Linked DNA regions of Saccharomyces cerevisiae S288C. The gene in region 1 interacts genetically with each later gene. Each region holds a gene or a part of one and is shown on either strand. Other genes may lie near its edges.

Region 1 (4,193 bases):
GCCTTTCTTTCTTTTTTTGAAGGCAAGAACTCGCATTAGTTATGGAAGAAAACCAATTAACGTGCTTAATAGGTATGGCAAAGAAGTTTAAGAAAACAGACATTCGAACAAAAATTTACTAACATATAAATGTAAATTTAAATTTCCTTTTTTTTACAGTTGGAGAAACACCAGCAGCACAATTTCTAGGATGGAGACTAAGTTTGAGCAACTCTTTTATAATACTGGTCTCGCAATATGTGTCTAGTGACGAGTTAGTTGCCTGGAAATCGACAAAACTAGGCGCCAATTTCTACACGCCAAACATTCTCACTAAGGATATTAAAGAGCTGCACCACAAATTAAAACATAACGGTGCAAATACGTATTCAATTGACATTGTGTTAGTGTCTGCAATTTCCTTACAGTCTTTCGAAACAACTTGTCGATTGTTGTCAGATTACACGAACGACAATACGACTGTGCTTATTAGCACTGATTTTGGTTGCGAACTGGAGCCCATAGCCATAAGTTATTTTGGAGGGAAGTGCAAGTGTGTTATTTCCATTTCGTGTGAGGTTGAATGCAGACAGTTATCGCTTGGATCATATGCATTGGTCAACGACGATCAATGTGTAATAACTTTGGGATTAACTTATTGTGATGCTAATTTTGAAGCAAGTCCAACCATTCTGGAAAACACGAAAGCAGCTTCGTTAGAATTGCAAGGGATTAAGGGTTCAAATGTTCGCAGGTTCCTTCTTGGATTGACCGTTGCGAAATGGATGAAATCTAAATTAATTTTGGACCCAAAACAAATGGCATTGAAAATGTGGGAATTGCTTATTCCTAAAATCTCACTTAACATCCTTTCTATCATCTATGAACAATTTGATTATGAGAAAATGTTAGAAAACAAATCCACAGAAATTATTTTTAAAGATCTGGTGAAAGAGTTACTTGGAATTTGCTTTGCACAATGTGGAAGCAAAATTGCAAGGTTTTTGCTAGTAAAATCACAAGGTGAAGAAGAGATTAATTTTGGGAAAATCGTAGAATATTGCAAAGGTAAAAAACTGCAACTTATCAACTCTACGGCAAACGAACATCCGGAATATTTATCCTTACCGTTTGAGCCTTATTGTTTCTACCACCGATTTGAATATCCTGCTCAAATTCTTTTGCATCAGCCCATCATTTTGGCCAAAAAGTATGGTGTTTCGTGTTCAAATTTAAATTTCCTATATGGATTCTATACGAGGTTACTGACACTAAGTGGGCTATCAATAAATGGTGGAAGGTGTGAGCATGCCTTGTCGATGTTGGACAGCAGGATTGGTGGTGGTATTAACGTTGCTTCAGGAATTAATAGCGGCCAAGATTTTACCGATGGTGATAACGAGGATCAAGATAAAGGCAAAAACAGAGTGGACAAAAATGTAAAGGAAGGTTCTTTCATTAGTTTAACACAACGATTCACGATGACAAGTCCACTGGGTGTCAATGATCCAGCTTTACCAGCGGACTTAGAAAAGTTGTATTTAGGTGCAGAATACATTAGCAATTGCGACGCAAATACATCTGGTGGTCAAAAACGAGTAAAATCTCCAACTAAAGCAGATACAGGCTACGATGATAAACACTTGCCTGATGATACGATACATACATTTGAAGATGAATATTTGGCCGATGAAGACGACTTTTCTTGCCTTGGAATTGACAAAAGAAGCTCAACAAAGCCCACAAAGCCTCTAGAAAAATTTGGAGTGGTTGCTGTGCCACACTTCATCAGGAGGTTTTCTATTAAAAGGTCGAGTAAGGATAAATCAAATGATATGAAAAGACCATATACTACAAGCAGCTTGGAGTTGCAATTAAGGTCAAATCACTTTATGTTCGCCAAAGAATACCAAGACTTACATAGACAATTATATTACGAAGTTAAACCAAGGACGCAATCAGAATTGGACGCAAGACGTCGAAACTATTCTGAATTAGAATCTCAGATGTGGAAAATTAAACATCGGTTCAATATTCATAGAGGAGCACTGCCTCGTCCACGAACGAATCCGTATGAGCTATTACTGGACCACATTGATGTTTTGAACCGTGGCAACACTGGGGATATTTTGAGATTTACCACTAGTAGATACGGTGGTGTAGATACGTATGATTCCATCTTGAGGGACCAATCCACGATCATGGAACTTTTAGATAAACGGTGTGCCTATTCACCTCCAGTACTGTTCGATAATGAGGCTAAAGAACGTGATCATGATCGCGATTGTTATCAAGATTACAATCACGACCACCGGAGTCATTAATATTAAAAAAAAAAAATGTGATTGTTAATAAGGGGTGGGATGCGCGAAATTCTATGCCTACAGTAGAAAGCGGTTGTTGCACAAATGATTAAATCTTTATCTCCAACTCACAATACTATCGCGATAGATGCATAATATGTGCAGCTTCTAAACAGCACGGAGTGATGATAAATACGCATATATGTATATATATATGTATGTGCATATGCACGTCCTTTTAAAACTCAAAATACAACATTCTTAGTAAATCCTTTTGTTGACACACGTCGGAACAACTCAGGACGGAGTTAATGGATATGCTTCATAATAAATGTAGTGATGCTATCAAAAGCACCTCCAATAGCAATTTGAGTAATGAGGTAGACAAACAAAAATTGCAATACGATGACCTCGGGAACACCGGATTTTCTGAACTATTTGAGATGGAATCTCAAGATAATAATGATAGCATAGAGGATTTCTTGTTCTTTAATATAAATTTAACCCAGGAGGTTGAGTTCGAGAACCAAAGACAATATGAGCACACGAAAAAGACAAAGAAGCATAACCCATTCTATGTACCGTCAGAGGTAGTGCGAGAGATGGTCAAGAAACACGCATTGAATGGCAGAATATAGTTAAGCCCGATAACACATTCTATTTTTCATGTTTTAATAACGTTTCATATATGAATTTTTCTCAAATATACGATATATACCTAAATGAATATGCATATGGAAGTGAAGTTGGGGATTTTGCAAACTTGTCTTATGTTAATCTTGGCTTAAAGAATGTTTTCCAAAAGGCCGTTCTTATTAATTTTTCTTCTCTTGGTTCTGTTAAATGCTAGTGAATTCGCATTGACGTTCGTTGGTATGGCTACTGCTCCGAATGCGATTGGATGGCTTGCCTTCCTGCCACGATTACTGAACAAATCGAGTTCTACATTTGCATCCAACAGTAGTTCTTTCAATATAAACCACTTTCTTTCTTTCTGTGAAAGTTTTTGGTACTCTTCAAGCAAGTTCTCTTGGATTTTGGTCAGTATATCAATTTTTTCATCATCTGATAAGTCAGGGTCCTCAGTTTCTTGGTCCTGCTCCGCTGCATTTAATGTTACAATTTGGTCATTGACAGCTTGTAAAAAGTTGTCATTCATAGCGTAAAGATTGTCCTTGTACAACCTTGTCTTGAGGGTGCTTATATCTATCTCATCTTGGTTAGCGTTCGTTATTACATTCCCTGGAGAATTCTTTATCATTTCATAGTTCATTTTCGATATGTCATCCACGGCAACAATGTGTCTTTTGAATGTCGTGGTGTTTGTGTGAGTGGAAGCAGTTGAGGCGGCATTTGCATCGGTAGCTGTAGATGGGGTCGAAGAACCTTGTTGATTCAAGCCATCTGCGTTATGAAATTTTTTGTGATGTGGGTCTTTCTCCAAGAAATCTGGAGTTTTGACACTTTTGTAATGTTGAGTAGCTGCATGAGCAAACTGCACCTGTTTATTGGTTGCCAAGAGGTCTTCGAACTTCATTGTTATGATTCCATTGAAGACAGCTATGTCAGTTAACAACGCAATTCCCCCTTTCACACGAAAACCTTTTCTCTAAACATCCTTCTCTTTTATCATAATTCGTGGTTAGTGCCGGCCTAAAAATTTTTCAGCATATTAAAACAGAAGATAGAAAAGAAATAGAAAATGCGATGAGACGTCAAGTTTTCCAATTAAAGAGGACGTGAGAAAGGAGCTGTTAAACATGGATCAAAGTGTGGAAGACTTATTTGGAGCACTAAGAGATGCTAGTGCCAGTCTAGAAGTAAAAAATTCAGCGAAGGAACAAGTTTCTCTTCAACAAGAGGATGTTTTGCAGATAGGCAATAATGATGATGAAGTAGAAATTGAAAGTA
Region 2 (4,956 bases), on another chromosome or scaffold:
AAACCCCAATCTTCCAAAGTTGATTCAAGCATCAATAAGGAAAGTCCGGGAACTGGTATCAAAGTATCTAAAAAAAATTTCCCTGTTCTACGAGGACTAACAGTGGATTCAGAAGAGTATGGCTCTTCTTCATATAAGGACACATCATGTCAAAAAGGAATTCCCAAAAATCTTTTTGATGATTTAAACCTGAACCTACAAACATTACGTCTCGAAGCTCAACAAAAGGAACTTGAAACTGCTAGACATATTTCACAATTAGAAAAGGAAGTCCAGAGACTCATGGTAATAAAAGAAGCTTCAAAAGATTCAAATTTTCAAACAGCACGGCTTAAAAATCTAGAAATTCAGAAAACCTTTTTAGAATCTAGAATTAATGATTTAAAAAATTTATTGATGGTCAAATTATCTCAGGCAAGTAAACTCTGTGACCAAATTACGATTCAAAATAATGGACTTAAAACATGCTCCGAACATGTCACTATTAAAAGGGATATCATCGATCTTGAGAATAAATGTGATGTTTTGAAGCGCCAGAACGAAATACTTGTAAATAATATGCAAAAAATAACCCCCGAACTTCATACCTATTTGAACGAATCGTCCTGCTATCTGGGTAAATTATTAAAAAGCTATCCTACCAGTGCACGGCCACCTTCAAGTGAGAAAGATAATCAAATATATGAGAAAGATTCGCTGAACAAAATAGAAAAAGTAATAAATGAAATGCACGAAACCGTGCGTGCTAAAGAGAAATTGCACCTTGAAACTCAGAAGCTTAATGATGAAAGAGATTCTTTGCGGGCTAATTTACTCGACAATAACAACAAGTTGGATGCGCTAAGAAAACTCTCTGATGGAAGCTCGAAGTCTATGGACCTAACAAAGAAGGCTATTCACCTATCACAATCCGAGCTCGAAAAATATCGTAAAAACAACGACGATTTACAGAAGGAGATTGATAGAATTAAAACTGAACAAGCTGAACAGGATGACAAGCAGGAACAGCGTGGCGCCATCACTCATGGAAATTTTGATGCGTTCCACAGAATGAAAATCAACAATCTGAAAGCGGAACTGTATATGTCGAAAGAAAATAGAGATTCCCTCAAGGACGAACTGCTAGCTTTAAAAAAAAAACTATATACTCTCGAACAAAAAAAATAGTCATTGGAAGACGTTGTTACGCACTGGGAAGTCAATATGTACAAAGTATATAAAAATATATTTAAACACCTATAAGGACATTGTAAACATTAAGTATTAATAGAAGGAGAATATAATTGCCAACTAAGCCTTTTGAGGTTAATATTCAATGGTGCAAAATTAGTAGCCGCGGTTATTATTATTCGCCGGGTAAAGAGCCCGCTTTTCTAGGGGGATTTTAGGTGAGCATGCCTCTAGAAAGCCAGAAGGACCCTTAACGAAGCGAAACTGTTCAGAAGAATGAATAAAAAGACACATTGAAAAAAAGAATATTGTCGCACTGTACATAAGGGAGAAGCTGTAATCCCTGGCAAACTGCTAATATCTAATAAAAATAATAGAAGATGTCATCTGCAAAGACATTTACTAAGCATATCTCGTTTGATGATCTGGCACCTTCCTTAATTGATGACCAAGCTACCATTATTAAAAATGACAGTCACCATGTTGGCTTGAATAATCATTTTTTACATATACCTCCACAATTTAATCCTGTTTACAAAAATACTTTGACCGGTAGCCATGGCTCTAATGACCTTGCCACTGACGAAAGCTTGGACTCACCCGAAGACGAAGAAGCTTCTTCGCCACTACAACTAGGAACTCCAACGTCTACAACATCTGGAGTTCCTCACTTCTATACTCAGGTATTTTCTCCTGCAGCACATGATCCCTCCAAAAGCTATTTGAGATCGCCCAGCGTTGAAAGAAGTAGAAGTGAGTCTCCAATGTTCAGGTCAAGAAGAAGGACTTCAGTGAGGTTGCCTCCCCCTCCAAAAGTATCCGTGCTAAAAAAATCTCGAAAAGCTGCTGATGAACAGGGCCCTATTGATGATATTGATATTGGTGATTTGGATTTTGAGCTGGAAAGAAAAATGACCAAAATGACCGAAAGAAACACTCAAAAAAATTCTGGATCAAGGAAAGGCTATACGCAAGCTGCATTTGCCAATCTTAATGAAGTTGAAGATAGAATTGAGACCAAGTCAATGGTAGATTTATCCGAAAGCGAAAATATGGAGAGCTCAAAGAAAAGGTCCAAGTCGTTTGCCGGGATGACAGACGAAGAATTAGCCAAATTAGAGGAATTTTATATAAGTAAAGGAAGATCGAACAAGACTAAAATAGATCAATTTGATTTTGGTGAGCAAGTTCCAGTCTATTTGAACACAACAGAGTCAAAAACGGATTCAAGCAACGTGACGGACCCTTTAGCAGCAATTTATCCATCAAGGCCTACAATTGTTCACAATGCAATTTCAATGACAATTGATCATCCAGACTATGAAAATTATATTTCCAATACAAAAGAAAAGCTCAATTGCAAAGACAAAGATGACGATGTAGATTTAAGAGTTGTTTCGTGTTATATATCAGGTAGGAGATATACTTGGTCATCTGTGGACTGGTATGTTGAAAATTTGACAAGAAATGGTGATCATTTAGTCATAATTACTACAATTCCTGAGTTTGAAGCAAAGATTGATACTCTAGCATATAAGGAGAAAAGAAGGCACCGCTTAGAAAGGATGACTAGCAATACTAGTGAAAGCATGACTACCGCGTCACATAGCCTTATAGGCCCGGATCTCTCTAGTCCTTTATCAACGGGAATAAGAATAGAAGCTATTCATAATGAGGCTAAGCAAACTTGTAGCGATATTTTAAATTACTACGCGAGAAGATTGGCAACTAAAATAGTTAGGATTAGTATTGAGATGGTAAAAGAAAATTCAACAAGATCAGCCATAATATCTGCGACCTCTCTGTATAGGCCAAGTTTGCAAGTAATCAGCACCGTTAGTGCCAACATTCAAATCAAGTTTAGAAATGGAAAAGTGAAACTACCATTTTTTTTAATGAAACACTTTGCAATGCCAGCATTTGTTGTCCCATTCGAATTCATCAAGCCTGAGCTTTTAATAAAACCTAGAGTGGATAAAGATGAACAGGACAACAGCGATGATTTGAAAACGGAAGTGAGAAAAAAGGAACGATTGCAATGGCTAAGTGCATTAATCAGGAGAACTTTGGAAAACCCTTTCACAAAACATAAAGTGGTTGATTCGGATGATGAAGAAAGCGATAGTGATGAGTCAGTAACCTCTGTAAATGAGTACTTCCCAATCTCACCTGAAAAAAAGGAAGAAATGGAATTCTTCGATAAGATGGGATATGTTAGACCAAAACCGTCGAGACAAGTACTATTGGATGATAACACTCTTATGAAGTACGACAGTTCTGGCCGAAAGCTAACTCCTATAGAATCGAGAAATTCGAGGCGCAGCTCAAAGCGGAGTTCAAGAATACAATTCAACAATAACGGCATTTATAAAGTAAAGTCCATGGTTGATGACATTTACAACCACGAAACTGCCTCTACGCCTCATATCAAGACAGCACTAAAATGGGACAATGAGGATCCGAAAATGAAGTTCACTTCACATCCAATGAGAAAAACAAAATCCGCAGGGCTATCACCCAGAACATCCTCCACTTCATCTTCTTCAGGACAGAGAAAAGCGCATCACCACCACCATCACCACAACCACGTTTCAAGGACGAAAACTACCGAAAGCACCAAATCAGGCAACAGCAAAAAGGACAGTTCCTCATCCTCAACAAACGACCATCAATTTAAAAGGTCTGAAAAGAAGAAAAAAAGTAAATTTGGCTCGATCTTCAAAAAAGTTTTCGGATGAACCGGATTAATACAAGTAAAATCAGCAAAGATATAGAAGACAAAATAAGCGTGAAAACAATCATAAACCACTCACAACGGGGGTTTTCAGCTGTTACTCCTCCATACATACATTTTGATAAAGATATAATGTTATATTTCTTTTCGTAATTTTGTTTTACTTCGGTTTGCTCTATAGATTTCATCAGCCGCACCGAAAAGGGAGATCAATAAGGTACCCTTTAAAAGGGATAAGAAGCCTACATCACCCCAATAAATGGAGTAATGGCCAGCATTGGATGAAGAGAAGAATTACGGGATACTGGGATAACACTGTTAAAAATGCTTCGCGACGTGAGGGTCTTCTTCATATAAATTGAACTGCCAAATCTCTTTCACATTATCCAGGATAGTTTGGAATGTGTGTTACTGAAGGATCAGAATCAATAAATACAATCAATACAAATATTTAGCGCATAAAATTCAAACAAAGTTTACTGAAATGAAGTTAGATTCAGGAATATACTCAGAGGCACAAAGAGTTGTGAGAACTCCAAAGTTTAGATATATTATGTTAGGGCTGGTGGGCGCTGCTGTGGTACCGACCGCATACATGAGGAGAGGCTATACGGTTCCTGCACATAGCTTAGACAACATCAACGGCGTAGACACAACTAAGGCGTCTGTTATGGGTACAGAACAGAGAGCAGCTATGACGAAGGGTAAGAGTTTACAAGAGATGATGGATGATGATGAAGTAACGTATTTGATGTTCTCTTCAATCATGTAAGGGAATTTGTACTTGGTTCCCTGCATTTATGTTCTTTGCATTTTGTTTTCGCATTTAATCATAGTACGACAAACGGGGAAGGGGATTGTGATTTTACATAAGGCCCCTCCCATCATTGAGAAGGTTATTAATCAATACATATATAAGCATTTTCTTTTATACATTAATTGAACTGATATTTATTTTATGACGCAATAAAGCCTCTAATGCACTGCTATTATTGTTACTGTTAGTAAATATTCAACTAGCATAAATGATTGATGAGGGGATTCATTGCAAA
Region 3 (3,655 bases), on another chromosome or scaffold:
CAACAACTTTCTCATTTCTAGTATTATTTGCGGTATCGCAGAAACTAACTGTTGATCAGAAACATTGGTATCTTCCTTGATCTTGTCAAAATACTCTGACGCTATGCCTTTACATTCCATCAATTGCGATTCAAATTCTGCACTGAAAAGTAGGAATTTATCTCCTGGCGAAAATTCGTTAATCCATTCTATAATATTTCTGACAAATTTATTTTCATTCCTAACGTAATCTTGAGGTGAAACATTTAGCAATATCAAAGTTGGTTTGGAGGTTAAAAAGTTATGCTTATTCAAAATTTTGACTTCATCCAGGTTCCAATGATCTTTGAAATGCCGGATTTTTTTACCGTTAAACAAATGTTCCTCTAATGCATCTAATAATTCTGTCTCTATCTTCATTTCCTGATGTTCTTTAGAATTCTTCGAAACCATTCTCATCTTCTTACTAAGTCTTTCCCTAATGTTTTCCAGAAATTCTAAGTCTTTCAAGATGAGTTCATCTTGTACCACGGATAGATCTCTGACAGGATCAACATTACCTTCTATATGGGTGATGTCTTCCTTTAAGAATCCTCTCACCACTTGAAATATCCCCTCTACGTGTCTGATATCGTTTAAGAACTTGTTACCCAAACCATGGCCTTGAGATGCGCCTCTGGTGAGCCCAGCAATATCATATATTGTGAGTGTTCCAGGTACGCATTTCGCACTCTGATATATTCTCAATAAATTAGAGAGCGGCACGCTAGGTATATTGACTTTGGCACATTCTGCGTCAATGGTAGCGAATGGATAATTTGCAGGATTTCCCAATTTTGAGTTTGTTATTGCTTGGAAAAAAGTCGATTTACCAACATTAGCAAGCCCTACTATCCCTGAAGTTGGATTATTCGATATCCTCCCAAGTAAAAATTTTCCTCCACCAATGTTCATATCCGATTATTACTTCTCTTTATTCTTTTATATCCATATGCTTCAAACTATACAATTAAATAGATGCATTAAGGTTTACAAATAAGCATATCTCATTAGATACGGATGGGAAAAATCAAGAATCATGCAATGAATTATAATGCTCACCTAATGCATAGCTGTGTTTATAGTAAACTAGCTTCAATTCAGGATTTTTCCCACATTCATTGTACACTTGAATAGGTCTTCCACTCATCAGAATGCTAATGGGGCAGTCGAAAACGTGAGAGAGAGCCAAAATCTCAATTTCACCACCCCATTGAGCTGTATGCTCCATCTCTTTCGTATACTCATCAATGTCTTTCATCTTCATAGTTTCTTCATCAAACAAATATGGAATGAAATCATCCCTGTGCTCCTGTACGTAATTACAACTCAACCATCTCAGCTTCATGACATCCATGTCTTGATCCAGTTTTTTTGGATCATGGCGTAATTTTAACTGATCTAATATAGATGCAAAGAGACAGTGGCCATCGGGTTGTATATCGAATTGTTTCAGTTTCTTCAACTCGCATAACTGATCTATAGACTCCTGCTCCATTTTTTTCAAGTCCGGTTGTTTGGATGCTTCTAAAGCAGCCTCTTCTTTCATTTTAGCAATTGCTGCATCTCTTTTGGCCAATCTTTCCTTTTGTCTATTGCGACGCTTCTTTGTCTGGCCTTGTTGCTGTTGTTGAACGGGAACATTCTGTTGTTCTTTCTCATCTCGAGATATGGATAGTTGTTCTAAAAGTTTTTCAGGAGTCACTTCATCTTCTTGTTCTGCGTCAAACACTTCATTATTTGCAATTTTCCAATCCCTTATTTCATTTTCTTGCTTAGTCTTTAGTTTATCTTGAAGATCTAGGCATTTCGAATTAACTTCTTTCCTTTTGGATTTAGTAGCCTGCTTTTTCATACCCGTTATCTTATTCTGTAAATCTTTATTTTCCTTGCGATGTCTCGCCAAAATATCTTCCATGTTTTCCAAATTCTCTCCTGATTCCATGCCGGTCATGATGAATATCTCTTGTTCTCTCTACTAGATTGAATGCTGTGCTTTAGTTGGATTTTGTATTAGATGCTTTCGAGATGCCCAAACTAAAAACAAGGCGTGAAGAAAAAGAAATTTCGCGACGCATAATAATACTTTCTTTGACAGGGCCAGGGCTGCCAACTTTTCAGATTTTAACAATTGAGAAATTTATTGTGGTAAGAAAACCATAAATTTCCACTCTGTTGGAATTAAAATTTCCTGTATTGAACGAGAGTAGAAGCACACAATTTTCTTGAAGAAAAAGTAGTTAGTCTTCCATAATGTTCAATGGCCTTATCACACAAAAAAAAAAGAATGAAAGTACTATCAGCTTATAAGTCCTGATTAATTAAAAAAAGAATGCAGGAATAGCACCTTATAGTAAAAAAAGTAAATTTAAGTAATTAAATATAACTATACTGTAACTTTTTTGAATTGTATTTTCCCTGGCATTTACAATCTTTTTGTAACCTGGAATTTAACGATAACTGACACAAGTGATTCTTGATAATAAAAAAAAAAAGGAAAAATATTTCACTGTTCTACATAGTATATACAAGATCAATGACGGTTTTCTCTGGAGTAAATAAAATAGAGTTTGAAGGTACTTTCGAAGGTATTGGAAAGGATGTTGTTATGTCACAAATGATAAGGGCCTTGCAGAAACATTTTCCTTCGATACGTGACAAGAATTATGAGTTTAGCCTATTTTTGCACATTTTTCAAAGATATGTCTTAGAAAATACTTCAATCACCCATGATCTAGTTTGTGACAAAATTAGATTACCGATAATTGATGAAGTGGTTGAACTCGATGATATTAAAAATTACGGTTTGTTAGAGGGTAAACTATTATCAAAGTTAGCTATTTTAAAATTAACCGGAAAGGCTAATCCAATCATTGGTAAAGAAAGCCCTTTATTCGAAGTAAAAAATGGGATGTCTTCATTGGATGTAATAGTTCGACAAACGCAAAATTTGAATGTACGATATAATTCAGACGTTCCTCTTATATTTATGACCTCGCTTGAAACTGAATCTCAAGTATCAAACTTCCTTGAAGAGCATTATTCTTCTAGCAAAGTGAGATGGAAAACCGTAGTTCAGTCAAGCTTTCCACAAATTGATAAAGATAGATTATTACCTATCGATTTACAAATAAATTCTCATGAAAATGATTTTTGGTATCCTTGCGGGACTGGTAACCTAACTGACACTTTGTATTTTTCAGGAGAATTGGACAAATTAATTGCTCAAGGAAAAGAGATTTTATTTGTTTCAAATGTTGACAATTTGGGCGCTACAGGAGATTTGAACATTTTAAATTTCATCATAAATGAAAAAATCGAGTATCTTGTTGAAGTAGTTGAAAGGACTGCAAATGTTTCAAACACTGGAGTGTTGGCAACATATAAAGGTAAACTACGATCGGTTTATTACAACTGCTTATCCAATGAAAGTGCAAGCACGTGTCGAATTGTCAACACTAATAACATTTGGATTGATTTGAAAAAGCTAAAGGTGCTAATAGAGTCTAATAGTTTAAATTTGCCAATTCATTCTAGTGAAAGTAAAATAACACACAAAAATGAAGAGATAGAGTGTCTTCAATTTAAGACACAGTTGGTCGATTGTATTGCCTTCTTTCCGAACAGTCGAGTATTG

What was found. Genes that interact genetically often act in the same process or in processes that back each other up.
Region 2: mutations in NRS1 (region 1) and YGR237C together harm fitness more than expected from each alone (negative genetic interaction), as found in Saccharomyces cerevisiae (one large-scale study listed by BioGRID).
Region 3: mutations in NRS1 (region 1) and OTU2 together harm fitness more than expected from each alone (negative genetic interaction), as found in Saccharomyces cerevisiae (one large-scale study listed by BioGRID).

The regions. Positions count from the first base shown.
Region 1 is NC_001144.5:246,827-251,019, reverse strand, and holds NRS1 (Nrs1p), read left to right. Parts: upstream 1-2,593; coding exon 2,594-2,920; downstream 2,921-4,193. Other genes in the region: OSW2 (Osw2p), read left to right, coding at 42-72, 160-2,303; IES3 (Ies3p), read right to left, coding at 3,067-3,819; FCF2 (Fcf2p), read left to right, coding at 4,043-4,193.
Region 2 is NC_001139.9:962,250-967,205, reverse strand, and holds YGR237C (uncharacterized protein), read left to right. Parts: upstream 1-1,550; coding exon 1,551-3,908; downstream 3,909-4,956. Other genes in the region: KEL2 (Kel2p), read left to right, coding at 1-1,167; SPG1 (Spg1p), read left to right, coding at 4,389-4,676.
Region 3 is NC_001140.6:76,382-80,036, forward strand, and holds OTU2 (deubiquitinase OTU2), read right to left. Parts: upstream 1,973-3,655; coding exon 1,049-1,972; downstream 1-1,048. Other genes in the region: YLF2 (Ylf2p), read right to left, coding at 1-933; YHL012W (UTP--glucose-1-phosphate uridylyltransferase), read left to right, coding at 2,555-3,655.